Linked DNA regions of Rattus norvegicus. The main gene of each other region encodes a partner of the protein of the gene in region 2 in a complex. Links are inferred from orthologs where the notes say so. Each region holds a gene or a part of one and is shown on either strand. Other genes may lie near its edges.

What was found.
Region 1: Bnip1 (region 2) and Vti1b share a complex: the UniProt entries of both Homo sapiens proteins name them as parts of the SNARE complex. The link is inferred for Rattus norvegicus from reciprocal best matches to the Homo sapiens genes BNIP1 and VTI1B.
Region 3: Bnip1 (region 2) and Bet1l share a complex: the UniProt entries of both Homo sapiens proteins name them as parts of the SNARE complex. The link is inferred for Rattus norvegicus from reciprocal best matches to the Homo sapiens genes BNIP1 and BET1L.
Region 4: Bnip1 (region 2) and Vamp7 share a complex: the UniProt entries of both Homo sapiens proteins name them as parts of the SNARE complex. The link is inferred for Rattus norvegicus from reciprocal best matches to the Homo sapiens genes BNIP1 and VAMP7.

The regions. Positions count from the first base shown.
Region 1 is NC_086024.1:103,695,131-103,700,674, forward strand, and holds the end of Vti1b (vesicle transport through interaction with t-SNAREs homolog 1B), read right to left. Parts: intron 2,203-5,544; coding exon 2,029-2,202; intron 1,106-2,028; coding exon 1,040-1,105; 3' UTR 1,005-1,039; downstream 1-1,004. UniProt on the Homo sapiens protein: V-SNARE that mediates vesicle transport pathways through interactions with t-SNAREs on the target membrane. These interactions are proposed to mediate aspects of the specificity of vesicle trafficking and to promote fusion of the lipid bilayers.
Region 2 is NC_086028.1:16,899,865-16,905,633, forward strand, and holds the start of Bnip1 (vesicle transport protein SEC20), read right to left. Parts: upstream 3,698-5,769; 5' UTR 3,687-3,697; coding exon 3,603-3,686; intron 534-3,602; coding exon 441-533; intron 1-440. UniProt on the Homo sapiens protein: As part of a SNARE complex may be involved in endoplasmic reticulum membranes fusion and be required for the maintenance of endoplasmic reticulum organization. Also plays a role in apoptosis.
Region 3 is NC_086019.1:205,361,401-205,367,077, forward strand, and holds the start of Bet1l (BET1-like protein), read right to left. Parts: upstream 3,307-5,677; 5' UTR 3,148-3,306; intron 2,503-3,147; 5' UTR 2,393-2,502; coding exon 2,374-2,392; intron 1,325-2,373; coding exon 1,233-1,324; intron 1,009-1,232; coding exon 952-1,008; intron 811-951; coding exon 643-810; 3' UTR 1-642. Other genes in the region: Ric8a (synembryn-A), read left to right, coding at 3,627-3,710, 3,999-4,046, 4,136-4,726, 5,023-5,114, 5,586-5,677. UniProt on the Homo sapiens protein: Vesicle SNARE required for targeting and fusion of retrograde transport vesicles with the Golgi complex. Required for the integrity of the Golgi complex.
Region 4 is NC_086030.1:21,847,977-21,853,167, forward strand, and holds part of Vamp7 (vesicle-associated membrane protein 7), read left to right. Parts: intron 1-1,072; 5' UTR 1,073-1,081; coding exon 1,082-1,227; intron 1,228-5,067; coding exon 5,068-5,125; intron 5,126-5,191. UniProt on the Homo sapiens protein: Involved in the targeting and/or fusion of transport vesicles to their target membrane during transport of proteins from the early endosome to the lysosome. Required for heterotypic fusion of late endosomes with lysosomes and homotypic lysosomal fusion.

The DNA.
Region 1 (5,544 bases), on a different chromosome or scaffold from region 2:
CTGTTTTTAGGATGAGCAACTAAGCCCCTGAGAACTGCTTTTCAGTGTCTTGTAGATTCTCCCTTCTTACTCTTCCCTGTTTCTCCCTCTGCTCCACTACCTGAGCAGTCACTCTCCAAACAATTTACTTCAGACTGTCATCTGGTTTCTCCTTCTGTAAAGAAGGACTTACTAGTGTTTGGGGAGGGTCTACTCCCACTGCTCATCCTACGAATGGATTACTGTGGATCGCTGAAGCTCTTGCTTGCTCATGCACCAAGGACATGCCACACTAGGTACCCAGCTTAGCCCCAATGTCACGACCTCCCTTCGGCCTTGCTTTTACTGCAGTTACAACTTACCTCAAGGTTGGTTTTAGTGTTTTAAATTAGTGAGCACAGGTGAGTGTGTGCTCTCACAAGTCCACTTGTGGCAGTAAGAGGACAACTCGGGATGGCTCTCTCCCATCAACTGTCAGGCTCACGCCACAGCCACCTGACCTGCTGCTAGCTTGCTCTTGTTTTTGTTATTTTTAAATACTTCTTGCTAACAAGACAGGACGTCCCAAAAGGGCCTGCCATGCAAGGCAAGAACTAAGTACTATCCATGCTCACAGGTCAGGTGTTTACAAACATGTTCCAGGGAGCAGAGAGCTCTTCTTAGTTCCTTAGGTCTCTTCTAAGAGACAGAAACTGGGATTGACATTGGTCAGTAGACAGGTTTTCCACTACTTTATGTTGGAACAATCTATGAATTTAACAAAGACCTCATCCTCAGATATTTAACTATATAAACTATAATATAATAGAGAATATCTTCTCCTTCGGTTGGTGAATGCCTAGAGGAGTGCTTGGGTAGCACTAAGGTAATTTATCAGGGTGTTTGTTAAGTTACTGGTCTAAGCTCTCTATATTTCTTAGTTGAAATATATTGAATATCAAGAATTTGTGGGGGTTGGGGATTTAGCTCAGTGGTAGAGCGCTTGCCTAGCAAGTGCAAGGCCCTGGGTTCGGTCCTCAGCTCCAAGAAAAAAAAAAAGAATTTGTGGGTTTCTTGAAACTTACTTTCTGGACATAGAGCGAAGAATCTTTCGGCTTTTGCTTAAGTTTTCATTTGTGTTTACCAGCTGAAAAAGAAAATAACAGATCATTTCTTCTTCCTTTCAAAAAAACTTATATAATTTGAACATGGGCATTAAAAAGGTCTATAATTCCAGTTCCAGGGGATCTGATACCCTAACACAGACTTATAATATATGTAGTCAAAACAGCAATGCACATAAAATAAAAATAAATCTTAAAAACACCCCACAGAAATATAGGAATATGCTTTTGTTTTAGTCCCAGGTATGGGATATAGGGATACTTCAGGTTGTTCACAGCAGCTGACTTTGATTGCTTTGTGCAGGGGTGTGATAGTCTGTGATTGTGAGATATTTGGAATTCTGGGGACTTTTCAGAGTCCCCAGAAGCAGGATGGGTTGGCTTTTGTTGGTTGGTGGTTGCTGGTCATGATTTCTCAAGAAGTTATGCACAAAGAGATGAGAAGAAATTAGATATCTTGATGAAGATCAAACTTGCCACAAGAAACTCAATCCCCCTAATCAGCAGGAAGTAGCCTAACTATAACATCACCCCCTTTCTTTTCTTTTTTCTTTCCTATCTAGTGTTAGGGGGTTGAAAGGGTGGAAAAGGGTAGAAGAAAAACTCACAAAATAGCAAAAGACCAGTTACACCACCATATTAAGAAAGGATTTCTTAAAATACTGGCTGGCCAACAAATTCCAAAGATCCAACTATTTCTAATCCTCACCCCCAAACTCTGGGGTTCCAAACCCATGAGCATCTGTATTGATCTTTATTGACAGACCCATCTCCCTTAGCTCTGTACAAGTACTTCTAATGCGGAATCTTTCAGCTGAGGAATTTAAAACTTGTGAAAAGGGGAGGCGGGCTGTTATTCCCAGAAGTCAGAACTGGTGTAGTGTCTGGCCTTAGTGTGGTATCTGGGTATGAGGACCCCCCTACTTTACACATTGCCCAGACTTACTCTACTCTTGGTACGTTCCAACTGGTCTCGTTGCTCCCCCAACTCTTCTATGATTTCTGAACCAATTTGGTCAGTTTCTGCGGCAATCCGATGAGAACGCTCAATGCTTTGGGTGGCTCGGTTCAGGCTTTCAGTGCCTTGCAGAAGTAATGCTCTTTGAGACTGCAGCCGATTCTGATAGCAGTAAGGAAGAAAAATGTTAGCTACTTCTGTTATAAATTTATTGTCAGTTATTCCTTGTGGCTTTCTTCTTATGTACAAGGATACAGTAAACCATCATTTCCCTAGCTTTTCCTTTCTGTCTGCAGGGCACTGATTCTAGGGCACTCCTGCTGAGGTCCTATGTGTAAAATAGTAGTCTGCATATAACATGTACATATCCTCCTAATACATTAAATCATCATTAGATTACTGATACCTGAGAAAAGGTAAATATTATGTATATTTATTGTTCAAGAGAATCATGGCAAGAACATCAAAAGATGTTCAGCAAATAAAAACATTTGTAAAGCTTTATGGGTACCAGAAGAGGGTATCGGATCCTTCAGAATTGGAATTTTTTGAGACAGGGTCCTACAGTGTAGTTCTGGCTAACCTAGAACTTACTATGTACACCAGCCTGGCTTCAACTCCCAGAGATCCATCTGTCTCTGCCTTCCACGTGCTAGGATGAAAAGCTAGGTGCTACCATGCCTGGATAGATGTAATATTAAAAAAAAAAAACAAAACATTTTCAATCCAAAGCTGACTGAAGAGTGCTTTTAAAATTGAATCAAAAATTCTAATGAAAAATAAGATCCTGTTCAAGGTCAGGATTAAAGCAGGCAGATTCCACTTCCCTTAAGACTTCTGAAAAAATAATGAAAAAGAATTGGAGCATTTCCCCTGTGAACCAGTTAAAATCCATTAACATGTAACTGGCTATTAGCAACTTCAGTCAGCATCCAGACTGAGTGAGAAGGTAGTAGTGTGTGCAAAAATGACCTAATAATGCAATTAGCTTGTAACTTTAAAACTCTCTGCTTAAGCATTTATTCATTTTTGTTTTTTAAGGCGGCCTCACTGTAACTGAAGTTGAATTCAAACTCATCATGACTGTCCTGGCTCAATGTCCACGTGCTGGGACTGTAAATGTGTGCCATCATGCCTGGCTTGCCTTACACTTCAACAGTGCCACAAGTAAACAACGAGCTTCCAAAACACTAGAAACTAACTAATTCACTCAAGTTCCCACTTGGCTGGTGCTGATGTAGAGACCATAAATAACGTATTCTTTCTCAGCTCAGAAGTCATTAAGAACTAGAGACATTGGTGCATTCTTAAAAAAACTTCCATGGCCATGAGTGGCTCATGCCCAACAGCACTCTCAAGTTATCACCATGCTGGTGATTGTTCACAGGGAAGGGAGAGTCTGGACCTCACTCGAGCTTCCCTAGCTTCCCAAGAACTCTTACTCTTCACTGAAATTTTCTCTCTCTAAACACAGCATGACAACAAAATCGGCCCAGGTCAGGCCAGAATGAGTAGTGATGGACAGGGGTTCAGCTCAGAATTTACTACAGAGCAGGTGGCAAATGGCAGAAGATCTCATCAGCAATCAGATTCTGAAGCCAAGCACTGAGGAGGCAGAGACAGGCAGATCTGAGCTCCAGGATAGTCAGGGCTACATAGAGAAATCCTGCATCCAAAAATAAATAAATAAATAAAAAATAAATAAATTAGCCTCTTGGGCCGGGATGGTGGTGCACAAGTTTAATCCCAGCACCCACAGAGAGGCAGAGGCAAAAGGATTTTTGTGAGTTCAAGGCTAGCCTGAGCTACACTAGGGAGTTCAAGAACTATATACTCTCAAAAAATTTTTTTCTTAAATTAGATTCTTAGAATGTTTATACAGACCAGTAAATAAAGAAACCACCAAGGGTCAAATAAACCCATGCATGTGGTCCTCGTCTGTAATCTTAACACCTAGGAGGCAGATGTGGGAGGACAGCTCTAGCTATGAGGCCAGCCTGGTTCATATAGAGAGGTTCAGTCCAGCAAAAATGGTGCTGATGAGAAGGCTCAGTACCAAGTCTGAAGACCTGAGTTCAGTTATGGGGACTCCTGCATGTGGTCCTTTGACTTCAACACATGTGCTTATGCATATATATATATATATATATATATATATATATATATATATATATGCACATACAAAATAAATAATGTAATAAAGGAGGGCTGGAGCAATGGCTCAGTGATTAGTCCTGGTTGTCTTCCAGAGACCCTGGGTTTAATTCCCAGCACCCACACACTGGCTCACAACCATCTGGAACTCCAGGTTCAGGGGATCAATAGTCTCACCTCGCCTCTGTGAGAACTGCATGCACATGGTGAACATGTAGTCGAACACCTACACACATAAAAATAGGTCTTTGTAAAAACCCACAATTAGCTGAAAGGAAGAAAAAAGATTTCTATATAAAATACACAGAGTTTTAAATGATTAAGCTAAAGAAAGAGCAAGGAAAAGTAACATCCCACAAATCAACCTCCGACAGACATGGGATAATCCTGTGAAGGTATCCATGTTATCTACATTCACCATGGACTTGGGTGAGGTGCTAAGTGCCTTACGGTTCCACATATTCAGGCTGCTGAGTCAGGAGGCTCGACTGGGCATTTAAGGTCAGGCTTAGCATCATGGTAACAATCCTTTCAAGTTGACTTATTGTGTTTTTAAATTAATAAATTTAAAGCAAATGTTTGAACTTGTCAATCCTCTTTTTTTGAGGGGGAAATTAGCCAAAAAAAAAAAATTTTATGAGTGGTTTTTAAGTCTCCGTTTTAACAAATTCTATTTGCCTTTTCAGCCTTCCTTCACAAGTGTCCTCACAGGTATCCATTTCAAAATTGTTTTGTTTTGTTTTTCTCTTCAAAAATTGTGTATAAAATTCAAGAACTCAATATAGGGGCCATTGCTAGGGAAGATAATTCGGCTCTGCTCCAGGTTACCTGCCAAGTAGGGCTGTGCACACCTCGGGGACTTGAGCAAGTGTCTGTAGGTCAGGCTCTAGGCTGGAGCAAAGCTGAGAGCTCCCTGCCCTTGCCTGGATTGGTGGTCTCTGCACAAAGTTCTTCAGTCGGCACTTTGGCAAACAAGGCAACCAGCATCCCATCAGTGTCTGTGACCCGGGCAATGAGTGCTTGCCTACACTGGCACACAAAATGTGCTGCTCTGGCTGCCGTCTGAGGAGGAACATTGGTTGCAGCTGACACGGATTCTGATGTGGGTACCGACCATTTGCAGCTGCTTTCCATCCAGTCTCTAAGTTCTGAGGACAGTCACTGTGAGCACCAAGCTTTGAGACAGAAGCTGAGCAGCTTGTCCAAAGGCCTCTGGGGCCTCCAAGGGATGCTTCCAAAGTCCTATGTGGCAGCACTGACAGAAGCCTCATCTGGAACTCCTTGAACTCCTCACTGTGTGGCATCCCAGGCCTACGCCATGATTCTGGGGTTCCCAGCCTCTTACCTTGG
Region 2 (5,769 bases):
GCCAGGTGGTTCTAGACCCACCCAGCAATGGGCAGACATCGCACCCATCCCAGGGCCACAGCAGTGGAGATGGCTCTGCTAGTCACATGGCTTCTTCTCACTCTCTTGTGCTTTTAGACGCACATGCGCCATAGTGAGAGGCAGGTGTGGAAACCAGCGCACGATGAGCGCAGTGACTCCAGAAACTGGGAGGAGGCTACTGTGCACCGTAGCGCTGGACACACCAGGGACACGCTGACAATGGATTCAAGCAGGGAGTGAGCATGCAGGTTCCAAACTTTGATAGTGCAGTCACCCTCAGTGTCACAATGCTTCCTCCTCTCTCCAGGTGGCATGTGAAGGACCTGGTCAACTCTCAAGGGAAAGTTCTTCTAGGCCGGAGCTCCCGGCCCTGCCACCCACCCTCAGCTAACACTGAGTGGTTCTGCAGCCTCGCTTACCTGGATCCTGTGTTTTAACTGTTGAAACTTTTCTTTCACCTTAGTGTTCAGTTCGGTAAGCTCACTTAAGGGTCCGGAACAATCTCGAATATCCTAGAAGACAATGAAGAGATGAGGGGCCTTTCTCCCGTCGATGAAATGAAATGGCCTCATTGGCACAGTGAGAGAGCTGAGTCAGTCCGCAGCTAAGGTTGGCCAAGCTCTCTTGCTACCTCATCCTGCTCAGTGCTGTTCTGTTGTTGTAAAAATATAAAAAAATAAAAAGTAAGGTTGTCTTTTATCCCCCCTAGGTCCACCACTGCAGTGCCCCAAGATATCTGCTTCTTAATTCTCAGTCAGCAAAGTGTCTCACCCGCTCTGCTTCATCCTATATCCCATTGCCAAAGGCCTCTCTCTGAGCCTGGCAGCAATCTCTCTACCTATCTAGTTCCCAAGGCAGGTTTCCATGCCAGAAACACATCCCAACTCTGTAGTGGCCCAGACCAGCCGCCACACACTTTCTTACACTTAAATCGCTATATGAAAGAACACACAACACAATAACCTTTGACCCAATTGATAAGATATAATTGCCCACCTAAACACACAAAGCCCAATACACATCTATCCCTTAAAAACATTCGTAACAACCTGTAAAGGTACAGCGTGGGATCTTAATGTCACCTGCCATATTGTCCTGCCACAGCTTCTCTCCCTGTCCTTCCAGTCCCCTCCTCTTCCTTCAAATTTTTCTCCCGCCCATCCTTCCTTCTTGTCCAATGACAGGCCTCCTTCTATTTTTTTTTTCTTTTCTATTTTTCGGAGCTGGGGACCGAACCCAGGGCCTTGTGCTTGCTAGGCAAGCGCTCTACCACTGAGCTAAATCCCCAGCCCTGGCCTCCTTCTATCTTGTACCTGCCTCACCTGTGACATCATCCCACACTGTTCTCCATCATTTTCAGTTTCCTCACCCTCTTAAGATTAACACCAGAGGTCCTGAGTTCAATCACCAGCAACCACATGGTGGCTCACAACCATCTGTAGTGGGATCCGATGCCCCCTTCTAGTGTGTCTGAAGACAGCTACAGTGTATTCATATAAATAAAAAAATTAAAAAAAAAGATTAATACCAAGCCTAATAGGAAAAAGCAGGCTGAATGTATAGTTCATGATACAGCACTTACAGAGCATGCTCTGGGCCCTGGCTTTCATCAGCAGCAAAACATGCACATAAACACACACACACACACACACACACACACACACACACACACACACATACACACACACTCACACTCGTGAACGCATTGTATGTGTGTAATAAATAAACAGGTAAAGCTCAACCTTGACTTAGAAGTTTAACAAAGTGTATTCACTAGGAAAGGCTTCTTCAGCTTCCATGCTCCACAAAAATGAACACCTAAAAAAAACCCTGAAACTTCAGATCCTTCCAACTCTAAATCCCTGGTAACATGGAACAAAATTAATTTAGTCTGATTTTACAAACCATCTGTTGCATGTCAAAATGTTTAAAGACGGACTGAGAATTTGCTTCTGGAAAGAAAGTCAGATTTATGAGAGCCAAGTTTTAGAGCAGGCTCTAGACTTAGGCTGTGTATATTCAAATCCAGGTTAGAGCAATTTATCAGTGAAATCTTGGAGCACTTAAGTTCTCTGTGCCTCCATTTCTTTATCTTACCTTTCTCAAGATCGGTCTGCCTAGAACACTTGACAGAACAACTGGAGCACCATAAGAATACAATGTACAGGGCTATGCGTACTCATTAGTAACTGTAAGGACCCAAAACACATAGGTCACAAGAGACCTAGCTAACAGAAAATTTTATGAAAATACAAAGTTTTATGATATTATATAATTTCATACTATGATATAATATGAAAACACAACTTTTCAAAATTTTGAATGTAAGGGTTTTTTTTTTGAAGACAGATCACTCTGTGTAGTATGGGTTGGCCTCAAATGCATGGTGATCCTGCCTATGCTTCCCAAGTGCTAGCTAGAGCCACCATACTAGCAATTTTGTTTTACGTATGTATATGTTTTCATAGATGCATTCTGAGGACTGAAACCAGAGCCTTGCACATGGATAACCTTTAACTCTACACTCAACTAAATTTAACCCCCAGCCTCTGGTAATCTCGCTTGTATAAACCCAATCTTGTTTATTTTTCTATAAGTGGCCCAAATATTTTTTATTTACACATCTTAGGAGTGAAGTGGGAGAGATGTAAAGTTTGCAGCGTTTCTTCACTCGTTCTCTAGGCTTACTCATGAAATCACACTTCCTCACACCATCGGAGACTATTAATGTGGTACAGTGTACATCTGGCTTAGCAGAGAATACTACTCCCCACCCTCCTTTTTACAGGGGCTCGCAAAACAAAGCTTAGGCCAGCAGCCAGGCACAACCCATTTGCAGCACTGGGGATGGAACGCAGCGCTAAGCAAGTGCAGAGCCGTACCCCTACCCAATTCTTATTTGCTGTCACAGCTTGTATCCTGAGCCGATTGGGTTCTTTTTGCCAAACTCTGGAGTCATTTCTACATTCCCTTTTCGTGCCCGTGTTCGATTTCTTACGCGCCACAGTCTCTACTTACACCTGCTTCCAGATAAGCGCCTCACTTTCCGGTCTGTTCAACCGGATAGGGAAGCTCTAAAATGCTTTTCCTAGGCTGGTTTTCCCCATCCAGGTCCTAGTACTGGCACTGCCTGCCTTCTGACCCAGAACTTAGCACAATATTTGAATTCTTCGTTCAAAAAATTACAACCACGTCCTAGGTTAAGTTAGCTTGGGCCAGAACTCCCGCGTCAGGTGGCCTTGGGTGCCCTCCGGGTCCCTAACTCAGGGAAGTGGGCGTGGGAGAGGGGCAGGGCGGGGGGAGGGGGAGGGCGGGGCTACCTCCGAGACTTCGGGTAGCCCCCAGAACCACTTCAGTCCAAGGGACAAGAGCGGCGTGTTAGGCTACTCCAGATTTGGCCAAATCAACAGTACGCAAAAGAAACGCGCTGAAGGTCAGTGTTCTCCGGGAACCGACCGAGTGGTGCTCGAGGAGCCATCCTGGAGAGGGACTGCGGGCCTGGGAGGCTGGACCGGGCGTGAATGTCCTGGAAAATGCCAAGGCAGCAATCGAGAGCCGGACAGGAGCCTACTAATATGTACCTGGATAAGTGCCTTCACCTCCAGGTCGAATTTGACAATCTCCTGGTTACAGATTCGGACGTGGACATCCTGGGGGGCCGCCATGTTGGAAACGCGGCTACGGCGAGCGGCGGCAGCCAAGCTGAAGCGCGTTCGCGTGGCGCCTGCCCGCCTTTCCGAATCTCTCCGATTGTGGTGCGGAGGGGAGATCCGGTGTAGATCAAACCAGGTCGCCAGCCCAGACCTGGAACTTTCCTTGACTCGTAGAACACGCACAACTTCTCTGGGCTGCTCCTACTAAACGGAAAAGTGAATTGTGATTATGAAGAACCATTAGGGTTGGGGTGGAGAGGCGGGGGCGGGCTTGGATTACAACTCAGGTGATGGGCTGGCCTGCCATAAGGCCTTCAGTTTTGTTCCCAGTACTAAGGAAACAACCCCCACGCCCACCCTTGCTAAACAGTGGGCACTTTCCATCATTCAGAGACCAGCTATTCTAGTGACATTTTGAATAGGAAAAAAGGACCAATTAGGATGTCACCAAAGTTGTAGGGTTTTTTTCCTTTAAAATTTAAAGCGAAATTTCTACAGAAAGTATGAATTACGGAGTAAGACACAAAGTTTGTAAAGATGCAGAATTAAATACAGGTCACTGGGGCACCTCCATTAGTATGACCGTACCCTGGGGCTTTCTTATATTCAGAATCTACACTGCCTTCCTCACACATTTCTATGGCTATGGTTCTGCCCTTTGTGTAGAATTGAATTCCAATTATCTCGAAGGAGTAATTCTGATTGTGCAATGTAGTTTTAGTAGAAACAATGTCAGTGCAAACCTCAAAGAAGGGTAGTGCTTTTTAAAATTATTTCTTAGTAAGTCCTCACACCATTGGCCACTTTCCTTTCCCCCACCTTCTGGGATTCTCCAGGCTCTGTAGTCTTGGGTGTGGGGTTCCCTCTTTTGAAAATGTTTTTCTCAAACTGCACACACAGCCCCTACAAGTCAGTCTCCACACATGCCTTTCTGGTCCAAAGCACCCTGTACCACCCATTTCCTAAAAGGTGCTCAATAGCTCACTGCAGCTAACGAGAGCCTGGATTCCAGCCTAGTAGTCAGCAGCCTGGCTCTAGTTATTCCCAGAAGAATTCCATCATCAGTAGCATCCATCACTCCTAAGGTCCCCTGGAGGGCGGAATGAGGTAGGACACCGCTGATAACCCATAGTATTGAACTCAATGCTTGCTAGTTTCTGTTCATGTACTGCCAAGCCGCACTCTGGGAACACTTCCCTATGTGCAGCCATTTTCTAAGTGCTTCTGCCATATAGGGTCTCATGTAGCCCAAGCTGGTTTCCACCTGCCAAGGATGACCTAGAACTGTTGATCTTCTTGCCTCAATCTCCCAACTGCTGGAATTATAGGTACTGATGAACACCACAGCTGCCAGACCCGTATTTTAGCTCTACACAACTTTCCTATATATCCTTTCTATCTGGGTGGAGTGGCACATGACTATCCCAGCACTCAAGAAGTAGAGGCAGGGAGAGCCCCCACGACTTCCAAGCCAGCCTAGTCGATATAGTAAGTTCCAGACCAGCCAGGACTGTGGTGTAGAGCCCTGTTTCGTCATACTGGTTATATCAGTTTACGTTGCACCAGCAACATTGTGGAAACGCCTGTTTCCTTTAGCCCCACCAGCTTGGTGTAGTCTCTTTCTTTTTGCATCTCTCATAATGAATGAGACTGAGAAACGTTTCAAAGGTATCACGTTTACTTTGCTCATTTTCCTACTGGGTCATCAAGCTATTCCGTATTAGTTTCCAGGTTCCCTTTTTGTATTAGTATTCACGAGTTGCAAAATTTGTAGACTTTTGACTTTGCTGATGGGTGGTTTGGTTTTTTTTGTTTTTTGTTTTTTGTTTTTTTACCTTAAAGAGGATTTAAATTTGGCAGATCTTTATGACTCTTGGACTTGGGTCTGTGTTTTAAAGTCCTTTCTACAAGGATTTAGGATTGTCCACATCCCCTTCTAGTGCTTACACTTTTGTAAAAACACTTGTATCCTTAGCCATTTTTAATATATTTGCTTCATAGTGTGAGATGCAGAACCAACTTCTCATTTTCTAGGTTACTCAGTGGCTCCAACACTAAACAAGGGCCCTATTTGTTTCACCTTGGTTCTGGAGCC
Region 3 (5,677 bases), on a different chromosome or scaffold from region 2:
AGGACACACATCTGTGCTCCTGGAAACATGGTCTTACAGCCCAGAAGGATCTTAGACCAGTGCCTCTGGACTGCAGTCTGCTCCTCTATCCACAGTTTGCCTCTTCCCTGGGGTCTGAATTGAGCCAGACTGCACAGGTCCATTCCTGACCAGCAGTCTCAGCCTGGTGTCACTGTCAACCCCATCCCGACGACCATCATTTGGAGAGGGCTCACGGCCACATTCCCTTCTGGTGTCAGCTTCAGACTCTTCAAGAACACGGACATGGTTTAAACCAGACATAAACAGGTTAGAGCACAACAGAAGGCCCTTGAGGAGTGTGGCCACTGGCCACGGTAGGCGCATTCAGCACTCTCAGATGCTCTCAATAGAACTGGCTCATTCTCATACAACATGGCTCTGACTCTGCCAGTGTCTTTAGCACCAGGGAGTAGCACTGGGTTTTGCCTTTTTCTTCTTCCTTCATACACAGGACAAGCCAAGAGGAGCTCGTTACGACAGAGGCAGCCGCAGTCGTCCTGACTTAGGAAGACGAATGACCCGTGATGATAATTTCAAAGGAATATTGTTTCTGTAGTCAGGTCCTTAGGAAGCCAGGATACCAGGTGGACAAGAGTCTGGCTGCCCTTGGCTCCCACTGGCTCACGTCCTTGTCCTCGACAAGAGGTAGGAGAGGATGAAGAAGGCCACAATTAAGACCACAGCCATACCACACAGAAGCTTCCGGTTGTCTCGCCCAGACCGTGCCACCGTGGAAAAGCGCTTCACACTCCCTGTGAGTAGGCCAGTCACACTTGTGAAATCTGAGTCCTGCGGGAGAGACCCAACGGGATCACATAGAGCTGGGATCTGTGACGGCCCAACTGTACTAGCGCTGAAGGGTTAGAGGCAGAAGAGCAGGCGGCATGGGGGTAGAGCTGACTATGATTTGTACGTAATACAGGCACTTACCATGCCATCTAGGTATCGGTTCTGGTCTTCCGTGTCCCTGTCGATGTCCAAAGCCAGCTGGTTGGGATACAGAAGGCACAGTCAAGCAAGGACACAGAGTGCAGTGCCCATCTTCCCTTCAGATTCTGCTAGGTACCTATTACTAGAAAAAGCTAAAAAGGCCAAGGTATTACCTGAAGCATTCCTCAGTCAGCACACCCACGGACAGCATGGCTTCCTTTCTACCCACTCAGCCCCACTCACCAAAGTGTCTCATGGAAGGGAAAAGGGCCACCACTAACCGATTTAAGCCTGGTGACCTTAGAGGCCAGGCTGTCAGCCATCCGCTTGTTCTCTCTGTCTAGAATCTCCTCCACAGCACCAGAACTCTGAGCTGCAAGACAAAGAGGCTGAAGGGTAGAATTCACTCATAAATGTGGTCCTTGGCTCCTTGCTCCAGTGGAGCCTGGCCTGGTGAGACCTCTAAGGGCATTCCACCCATATCCTTCTGCTCACTTAGCATGTTCCACCCTATGTTCCAACAGGTAGACCACCTACACACCAGACAGGAAGCATGGGTCATGGGAGTACTTGTGTGCAATGCCCAGGCAGAGACAGGGAACCAGCAGGTCAATCTACACTACCCTGTTGTATACTGTTCCTGGACCAAAATGAATATTGCCTTAGCTGAAATCACCATCTGAGAGTATGGGACAGGTCTCAATCTGGTAGGGATTATAGGGAAAACAGAACAGAACAACAAAGCAGGTGACAGGAAGGCTGTGTGGGGATGACTTAGGAATCAAGTCCAAGGTAAGTGTAAGAAAGGCCTTTTACTGTAGAAACTACCAATCCCTACTGCTACAACCCACACAGGATCTCTAGAAGCCCCAGAGCACTCTCCTGTGGAAACCTTACTCCGACGGACAGAGACTAGACATGAAGAATTTCTGTCACGGTATGTAGTTGAGAATCACCTGCCTAAGTGTGACTGGCACTGGTCTGAAGCATAAAAATCCAGCCTCGATATGACCCACCTAAGGGGAAAGCCAGCAGCACCAGCAAACAGGGGCGACCAGACTCTAAAAGACAGACGGCTGTGTCCTACCAACCACTACATAGTTAGTATAGTAGAAGCCTCAGTATCACAACTGTCAGACTGAACACAGGCACGGGGGCGGAGGGTGTGTGTGAAACGAGGCACTTGAGCCCTGTAAGTCCCTGCTTGGACCTTCTGCTTCCAGCCCTTGGCATCAACCATACACACAAACTGATGTCATGCCGGCTTGGGTTCCAAGGCAGTGCCAGTTGAAATCTGGCCCTGTTTTTCCTGGAATACGTAAGCGCCATCCCACGCAGATCCCTCCACCGAGGAAAAATTGATGGCTCGTACTCCAGACTTAGACCTTGCCTCCTATCCCAACTACCTTCAGGTGCGCTCACCTCGAGTCCAATCTGCCATCGCGCCTTCCGAGGTCCCACTCGGGGAGTAGGCAACACAGCGACGGACGTGGCACCACTACCTGGGTCTTCCGGTTCCGCCTCAGGTCTAATAACTTCCGGGAGAAGAGTCTGAAGCGGAAGAAACAGACTTGTAGTTCTACACTGGAATGTAAATAAGGGAAGGGCGGGCCGCCAGCATTCGGGCCTACGGATTGGTCAGCAGTATTAGTCCCGCGCTGTGGGTATTACCCGGAGCAGGAGCTCAGACCCCAACCTGGAGCCGAGGGTCGGGTACCTCGGGCGCTGCAAAGTCCCCAAGTGAGAACGACAGGATGGGGAGGACGAGCAGAAGCGAAAGAGACTGGCAAAGGACCTGACACTGAGTAGAGGCAAGCGCCGGTTAGCACAGCGGGCGGCATTATCCTCTGGAACATTGCTTGTGTCACCGTGGGGTGCACCGACTCTGCCTTAAGCTAAGTGGCATGCAGACCTGGCTCCCCACTATACAACGTTCCTACGCTTCTAACCCCAGACACGCCGCGGCTAGCCGCCCCTCCGTTGCTCCTCCCGCGGGAGTCGCTTTTCCACCGGTGTTCTTCACTTCCTTCTCTCCGATCCTTCCTCATACACTCTGCAATTGCCCTTTTCTTTTGATAACCACATTATTTTGGTGGTTTGGTTTTTTGATTGTTTTTAGATAGGTCTGCCCGTTTCTGCCTCTCGAGTGCTGAAATTTAAAAAAGCGTGCGTTACTATGCCCGGCTAACCACGTACATTATTTTGACCATCCAAGTCGTACTTCTCTTTCCTTATTTCCCGTGGAAGATGAGCATCAGGAAGATGACCGCGAGAATCGTCTTCCCCAACTGACTAAGCGGCCAGGAGCCGGCGCTCCCTCTTTTATCACAGTACGGGAACAAGAGTGTAAGGAGAAAGGTTTACGCGCCGGCCAAGCCACACCCCACTCCCCACCCCCGCCCGCCAGGAAGTCGGGCTAGAGAGAAGGGCTCAAAAGGAGGATACTGCTTAGTTAGCTAGCATCGCTGCTCCAAGACAAGCCGCTCAGCGGCCACAGCCGGGTTGCTCCACCTTAAGCCGGAGGCCAGCCCCGCGCCTGTACACACCCTAGGCTCGGCTGTTCTCCCAGCATTCCTCACGCGTGGACGCTGGGCTTCCGGACCTGGGCGGAGTCCCCGGGTTTGGCCGATTGCGTCTTCCCAGCCCAAGTCTTCTAGCACCCCGTGCCAGGGGCCATGGAGCCCCGGGCAGTTGCGGATGCCTTGGAGACGGGAGAGGAAGATGCGGTGACAGAAGCTCTGCGGTCGTTTAACCGAGAGGTGAGAGGCATCCAGCTGCCGAGGAAATTGCAGGAAGTGAGGAAGCAGCCGGTTGCTCGCCACTCGGCTGGGGTGTGCGTGCGAGTGTGGCAGGGAGCAGGGCGGTGGGTGGTGGGCTGGGCCACGGCGGTGCCTCTGTGGTAGTCAGGTGTATGGGTGGCGAGGGTGGGCCTTGCTTTACGTACACAGCGATGGCTGCTGCTTCAGAGGTAGAAGCAGACCTGCTGCTTCTCGAGGAGCACAGGTCCTACCTGCGTGTGGAACTGAGCTTCCTGGGTCTCCCTGCAGCATTCCCAGAGCTTCACCTTCGATGATGCACAGCAGGAGGACAGGAAGGTAGGTGTCAGCCCAAGGGGGTTCCTAGGGCAAGCACGGGCTGCCCCAAGAAGAGGGCCTAGTGGAACCATTTTTGTCCCTTCCCACAGAGACTCGCAAAGCTGCTGGTCTCCGTACTGGAGCAGGGCTTGTCACCAAAACACCGTGTCACCTGGCTGCAGACTATCCGAATCCTATCCCGAGACCGCAGCTGCCTGGACTCATTTGCTAGCCGCCAGAGTTTACACGCACTAGCCTGCTATGCCGACATTGCCATCTCAGAGGAGCCCATCCCACAGCCCCCAGACATGGATGTCCTCCTCGAGTCTCTCAAATGCCTGTGTAATCTTGTGCTCAGCAGTCCTACAGCACAGATGCTAGCAGCAGAGGCTCGACTGGTGGTGAGGCTAGCGGAACGTGTGGGACTGTACCGCAAAAGGAGCTATCCCCACGAAGTCCAGTTCTTTGACTTAAGGCTCCTTTTCCTGCTAACAGCCCTTCGCACTGATGTGCGCCAGCAGCTGTTTCAGGAGCTGCATGGCGTGCGCCTGCTGACCGATGCGCTGGAACTGACATTGGGTGTGGCCCCCAAAGAAAACCCTCTGGTGATACTTCCAGCCCAAGAGACAGAGCGGGCCATGGAAATCCTCAAAGTGCTCTTTAACATCACCTACGACTCTGTTAAGAGGGAGGTTGATGAGGTAGGTTGTAGTCTGAAGTCAATGGGTGGGACTCAGCTCAGCTGGGGCATTTTGTGGGTTTGCTTCCCTGTGTGCCTCAAGTTGCAGGGTGTCGGATATGGCAAGGACTAGAGGACAATCTAGGCAGGAACTCAAGGTTTCTGAGCTGTGTTGTGCATGGGGCTGGGGACGGGTATTCTCCATAATGCTTCAGGTGACCAAGTGTGCTGTGGACAGGGCCTAGTGATCACCATGTGGCCTTGGGTCATAAGAATAGGGTCTTATTCTCACGGGAGCCCCTTTCCGTCTTTGGCTAGGAGGACGCTGCCCTTTACCGGTACCTGGGGACCCTTCTGCGGCACTGTGTGATGGCTGATGCTGCTGGAGACCGCACAGAGGAGTTCCATGGGTGAGGAGCAGGACTTACTATGTTGGGGATGGCAGGAGTTGCCTAGGTATGGGTACAGAAGTCCTTAACCCTAGCTGTGACTCAAGCACCTGGGAGCCCGGGCCCCACCTTTGAGTGTGACATCATGGGGAACGGGATCCCGGTGTGTTTTCAGAGAGCCTAGGGAACTCAGGGTATGACTAAGAAGAGTTTTGAACTTAGAGACAGGGCCTTAGGTGGAGGCCGCATGGTCTCTTGCTGGTGCCTCAGCCAGTCTCTCGAAACTGAGAGATTGCTTGGCATCTCAGCTCAGACAGAATGGTGCAGATAGAGTCTACAGTGTTTCCCCACCAAACTCGAGTTGGGGTACCAACTGCCCTTGCCTCAGTGCTATCCTTCGGGCCCACATATCATGTGTACCCCAGGAGAAGGGCCAGGGATTGTATCTGTGCTAAATATGGTTACTGTGTCAAGGCCTCTGTCTGTCCCCAGCCACACCGTGAATCTCCTGGGGAACCTGCCCCTCAAATGTTTGGATGTCCTTCTCGCTCTGGAGCTACACGAAGGATCCTTAGAGTTTATGG
Region 4 (5,191 bases), on a different chromosome or scaffold from region 2:
ACACTGAAGAGTTGATTTGTTAATTTCCATAGCTTACACCGTGAAGCAGGGAAATGTGGCTTGTTATACGAAGAAAAATCAGCATATTCCTATCCAAATATCAGGAAAGTAATTTTGAACTCATGCCCTTTTGTTTGATAATATTTCTGTTTATGAAGATTCTAACATGAATTATAAATCGCTCTTTTGGAAGGTTTGGGTGAATTTCATTTGGTTGCTTTTATATTAAAAGTAATTATCATATAGGCATAGATCATATAATATTCATATTATTAGTTCTGTACCGTCATGTGGGTTCTAGAATCACACTGTCTGGGTTTAAATGACTGTATCGTTCTAGCTCTGTAATCTTGTGTAAAATAGTTAAGGAGTCAGTGCCTCTGGGTTTTTTTTTAAATACTTAAACTAGTATCTGTTACAAGGTGAGTGCTTAATAAATATGAGTCAATGTGATTGTTAACAGTGATCTCTGTGAATCCGGAGTCTAGTCTCTGCTGAATTATTTCCCTAGGATAAGTTTTCAGGTTGAAATTATTTCATCAAACTGTGGTGGCATCTCTAAGCCGCTTTGCTATATATGATCATTGCTTTTGAAAGAGCATTGGTTTCTGCTATATAATCTGTAAATACAGCCCATGTGCACATTAATTTGTAACTAGAAGCAGTTTAAGTCACAAACTTGTAGAAGGTCATTCACTTTTCTCCTCATTTAAGAGGTCGAAACTCGGGTCTATAAGTGCAGGAAGCATACTTTATACCACCGAGCTGTGCCCCACTTCCTATTAAGTTTGCATTAATTTCTGTGCTATAATGATTTTTGTTCAGTGCTTTCTCTAGATGGATGTAGATACATGAGTGGGGAGAGGTGTTCAGGAGGGGGGATAGGGAGGGGAACAGCCTTATAAATGGGGAGGGAGAGGGATTAGGGAGCTTATGGACAGGAAACTGGGAAAGGGAATAACATTTGAGATGTAAATAAGAAATACACAATTAAAAAACAATTAAAAATTTAAAAAAAATTCGTGCCTGAGTAATATTCTAAATCTGTGTCCTTTTTTTTTACTCTTAATAGATTGAAGTCATGGCCATTCTTTTTGCCGTTGTTGCCAGGGGAACCACTATTCTTGCCAAACATGCTTGGTGTGGAGGAAACTTCCTGGAGGTGACAGAGCAGATTCTGGCTAAGATACCTTCTGAAAATAATAAACTAACTTACTCTCATGGCAAGTGAGTTCTGACCTGCATGAGGTTGTGGGAAGGAATGAATTTTATTGTGGTCAAAACAGTAGAAAACAAGATTCTAGGTAGATTCATTTGACAAAAATGGTAACTTGACTAGCTTGAGAAATGTCTAGTTTTAGGCCAGGCATGGTGGCTCATGTCTCTAGTCCTACTGCTAGATCCCACTATGAGTTCAAGGCCAGCCTAAACCACAGAATGAAACGCTATCTCAAAACAATAAAAAGTCTGGTTTTGTTACCAATTTAACTTACGATTATTATTCTATTTATTTATTTATTTATTATTTTATTCTGTCACTTGAAATGATATATTCAAGAAAGATATGGAAATGCTAGCTATAAAAATTGCTTTTCTAAGATGTGTGAAACAATACAGATGATAACTCCTTTCATTCATTTAGTAAATATTAATACAGTATTTAGCTATCAATAGGCACTCTAGCTGGTGAAACTGACATAAGAAGAAATGCAGATAATCAATAATGACCGGATTGTAAAAATTAATAATAATAATGACTTTCTTGACTTGTGATATAAAATTATAAAGTCTGGTGGGGTGGGTGGAGGTTGGGGACATCTTGGATACAGTGGAGGAGTAATGGCATGGGGACATTTTGGAAGGCAGACTAGTAGGGGGAATGACTGGACTGTAAAGAGAAGATAATAATAATAGTGATGATGGTGGTGGTGATGATGATGATATTAACTTTCTAGACTTATATAAAATTATAAAGGTATTTTATTATTGCAATGTGATTCCTGAATGACTATATAAGTTAGGGTTCTCTAGAGTCACAGGATTTATGGGCAGTCTCCACACAGTAAAGGAATTTGTGGGTGATTTGCACTCCGTCATCCAACTCACCAATAATCGTGAGCAGCAGCTGTGAGTGTAAATCCAGGAAAGTGTAAGTCCAAGGTTCCAGAGCTTCAGATGCTAATAGTGGGAAAGCCTAGTAATGGTGTTAAAAATACCTTAACTCTCCATGCTGATGCTTAAAATATTTCCATACTTAATCTCCACATCATTACTTCTTATGTCAGGGGATCCTTATTGCTTTTCAGAGTTAAGCCCTTTCACACCTTAGTTAAAGCTACCGTGAGAAGACACTGAAATATAAAATTAATGTATGTGAAACAGCCAGGGACGAGGGGTCCAGAGCTACTGCGTTGGCTCTGCCATCGACGCCTTCCAACTTTTGCCAGAAACAGTTTCTCTTATTGTTATCATGGCCCCGTGATTTTTCCAGTGTTTCTAAAGGCACAGATCTGAAGTTTCCTTGCTTTTTACTGTTTCAAGTTTCTGCTCTCGTTTTTTTTTTTTTTTTTTTTCCCTCCTCATCTTATAGTCACGTAGCCAAGCTAGTTAGAAGGGAGGCTAGGAACCATCTGCCATCTTTGGCTGTGTGGTCTTAGGCTGAAGTAAAGCTCTTACTCTGGAAGAATTTATTATAGCAGAGGATTCCTTTAAGTCCTCCATTTTACTTCTCTGGCTGTCAAAAAACCCAGATGAACTTTCCTTCTCAAATATTAAACATACCCAACTCTGAAGACTCACCTGGTTGCTATGTTTTGCTGTGTGTCGATAGTTCCTGGGTGATGTACAGTCCTTTGGTCCAGGAGTCCTATGGCCTGGTGACCGTAAAAACAACAACAAAGAATGAAACAGAACAAGTCATCTGTTTTTCCTGTTGTCATCCTCCTACCAAGAATGAGAACAGGGTCACTAGGATGAGAGTTACAAACTTTTATTTTAAAAAGAAAATAACAAGAAACGTAGAAATCATTTCTTATTATTGGTGACCAGATACTTCACGGCCATTTGGAATGGGGTGTAGTTGGTAATTCTACTTTCTCAGAGAAACTCCTGATCATTCCTACCAGACTGCTATAAATGTCAGAGGATATGTTGTCATCTTTGGGAATGTAAACGGTTTTATATCTACACCTTAACAGTTTAGATTTAGGGGCCCAGAGATTGTGATAGAGCTTAGATAATCTGTCTTGTGAGTACGGATTTCTAGTTTATTCAAAACACTTCATGCTTATAATGTATGCGTTGCTAATCAGTGCCTAGGAAAATGCTAGGGGAAACATGGAATTCTTTCAGAGCGAAGAAGGGAATATTTCTTCCACTGGTGTTATTAGAACCAAAATTTAGTAACACACCTGTATCTAGCTACAAGGGAAGCTAGGAAATATAAGCACAATATATGTTTTAGTAGAAGAAAATATACGAGGGATATACATTATATAATTGGATTCACATAAGTGTGATCTCTAAGTCTTCACCTGCCCCTCCTGTGTTTGTCAGATGGGGTTTAATCACTGACATTTTTTCTTTTTAGATTTCCACCCTGATTTCAATCACATAATTACATTTGTTATCTCAAGATGACTTTTACTTCTGTATAGCAAAATAAAAACATCCACATCGTATATATGGGATATTTTCACTGGACACCCGGCCAGCTAAACCTAAAACTTAAGGATTATATTTCACTTCCTCACCAAATATTTACCTGTCTTCTACACGTTTGTCAGCCCGTCCTTCCTCTTATATCTCCATTTTTCTCTTTGATGGCTTTGTCTTCTACTATTCCAGTCCTTGATTTGTTTTGCATCCGTACGTAAAAAGTTTATTACTCAGTGTTAATTTTTTTGTCTCTTCATAATATTTGTAACAGTTCTTACCTTTTATTGGAGTATGGTTACCATACCTGCTTTTAAAATTCTGTTCAGGGAGACAAAACAAGTTTTTAAAATATTAAGTATGATAGACAGAAGCATATGTAGCACTGGAGCTCAGGTGGTGGGGTATGGATTGATTCCATACTGATTTTGGATATTATAATAGAATAACACTCCCTGCCCCAGGCAAAACCGTTTTGAATCTTTTCATTTTTCTCAAGGCAGTTTATCAAATTTTGTATAATACAGTCTCTACTTCCTTTCCCGCTGGCATCTGTCCAGGCAATTACTTTTTTCCGTATGTTCTGAACTTTCATCATGCGAACCGATTTTGCTTTCTGATATTTATGATGTGCTCTTTCAAATCCACATCCTTACAGTGCCTCATTCTGCACATTTGTATATTCTCGGCTGACCCCTTGCATGGCTGTTACTTATTCTTTAGGATTCAAATCATACATCACCTTTACCCTTTGTAAATGTCCTTACCTGCTTCCTCTACGCCCCTAGGGTACTATAGAATACCCTCAATTTCCTTATCAGTCCTCAATTCCAATTCTTAAAACCACAACGTATCAACTTATTTGCCGAACTGCATTGTAACTCCTTATACTATGATCCCAAAAAAGCAAGAACTGATGGTTTTACAATCCGTATCCTCATCATCCTGCACATTCGCTTGCTCAAAGCAGATGCTTGAATGCAGGACAAAAGCACAGAGAATTCGCTATCAAAGGTGTTGGCAGGGGGGAAAAAGCTAAACAAAACCAGAAAGGGGGGAAAAAAAACCTACGACCCCCTGGGAATTAATTTTAATTGTGTGTTCCTTCTAAGACGTCATCTCTCCTCTGGGCCTTAAGAATCCATTTGTTCTTTTCTAGCTGACATTTTAATGGTCGGCACACATGATTATATTCAAGAAAGAGAACTTTTTTTCATGTTTTATTCATTCCTGTGAGTTTAACTAAAGACAGAAATGCATGAGGAGGGGGGAAATGGAAACGGATTGTATTTGTAATCGCTATGGTGAAGTTTGACACACTGAACTGGCTTATACGTGGCCAGAACTTAGAACTAAAGCAGGTGATACTTAAAACCACAATACGTTTTCTGTCTTTTCTTCTTTCTTCCGCAGTTATTTGTTTCACTACATCTGCCAGGACAGGATTGTGTATCTTTGCATCACGGATGACGTAAGTAACCTGAAGATCTATTGCTGTTTCACTGTGTGTACGAATGTAGCCGATTATCAATCATCT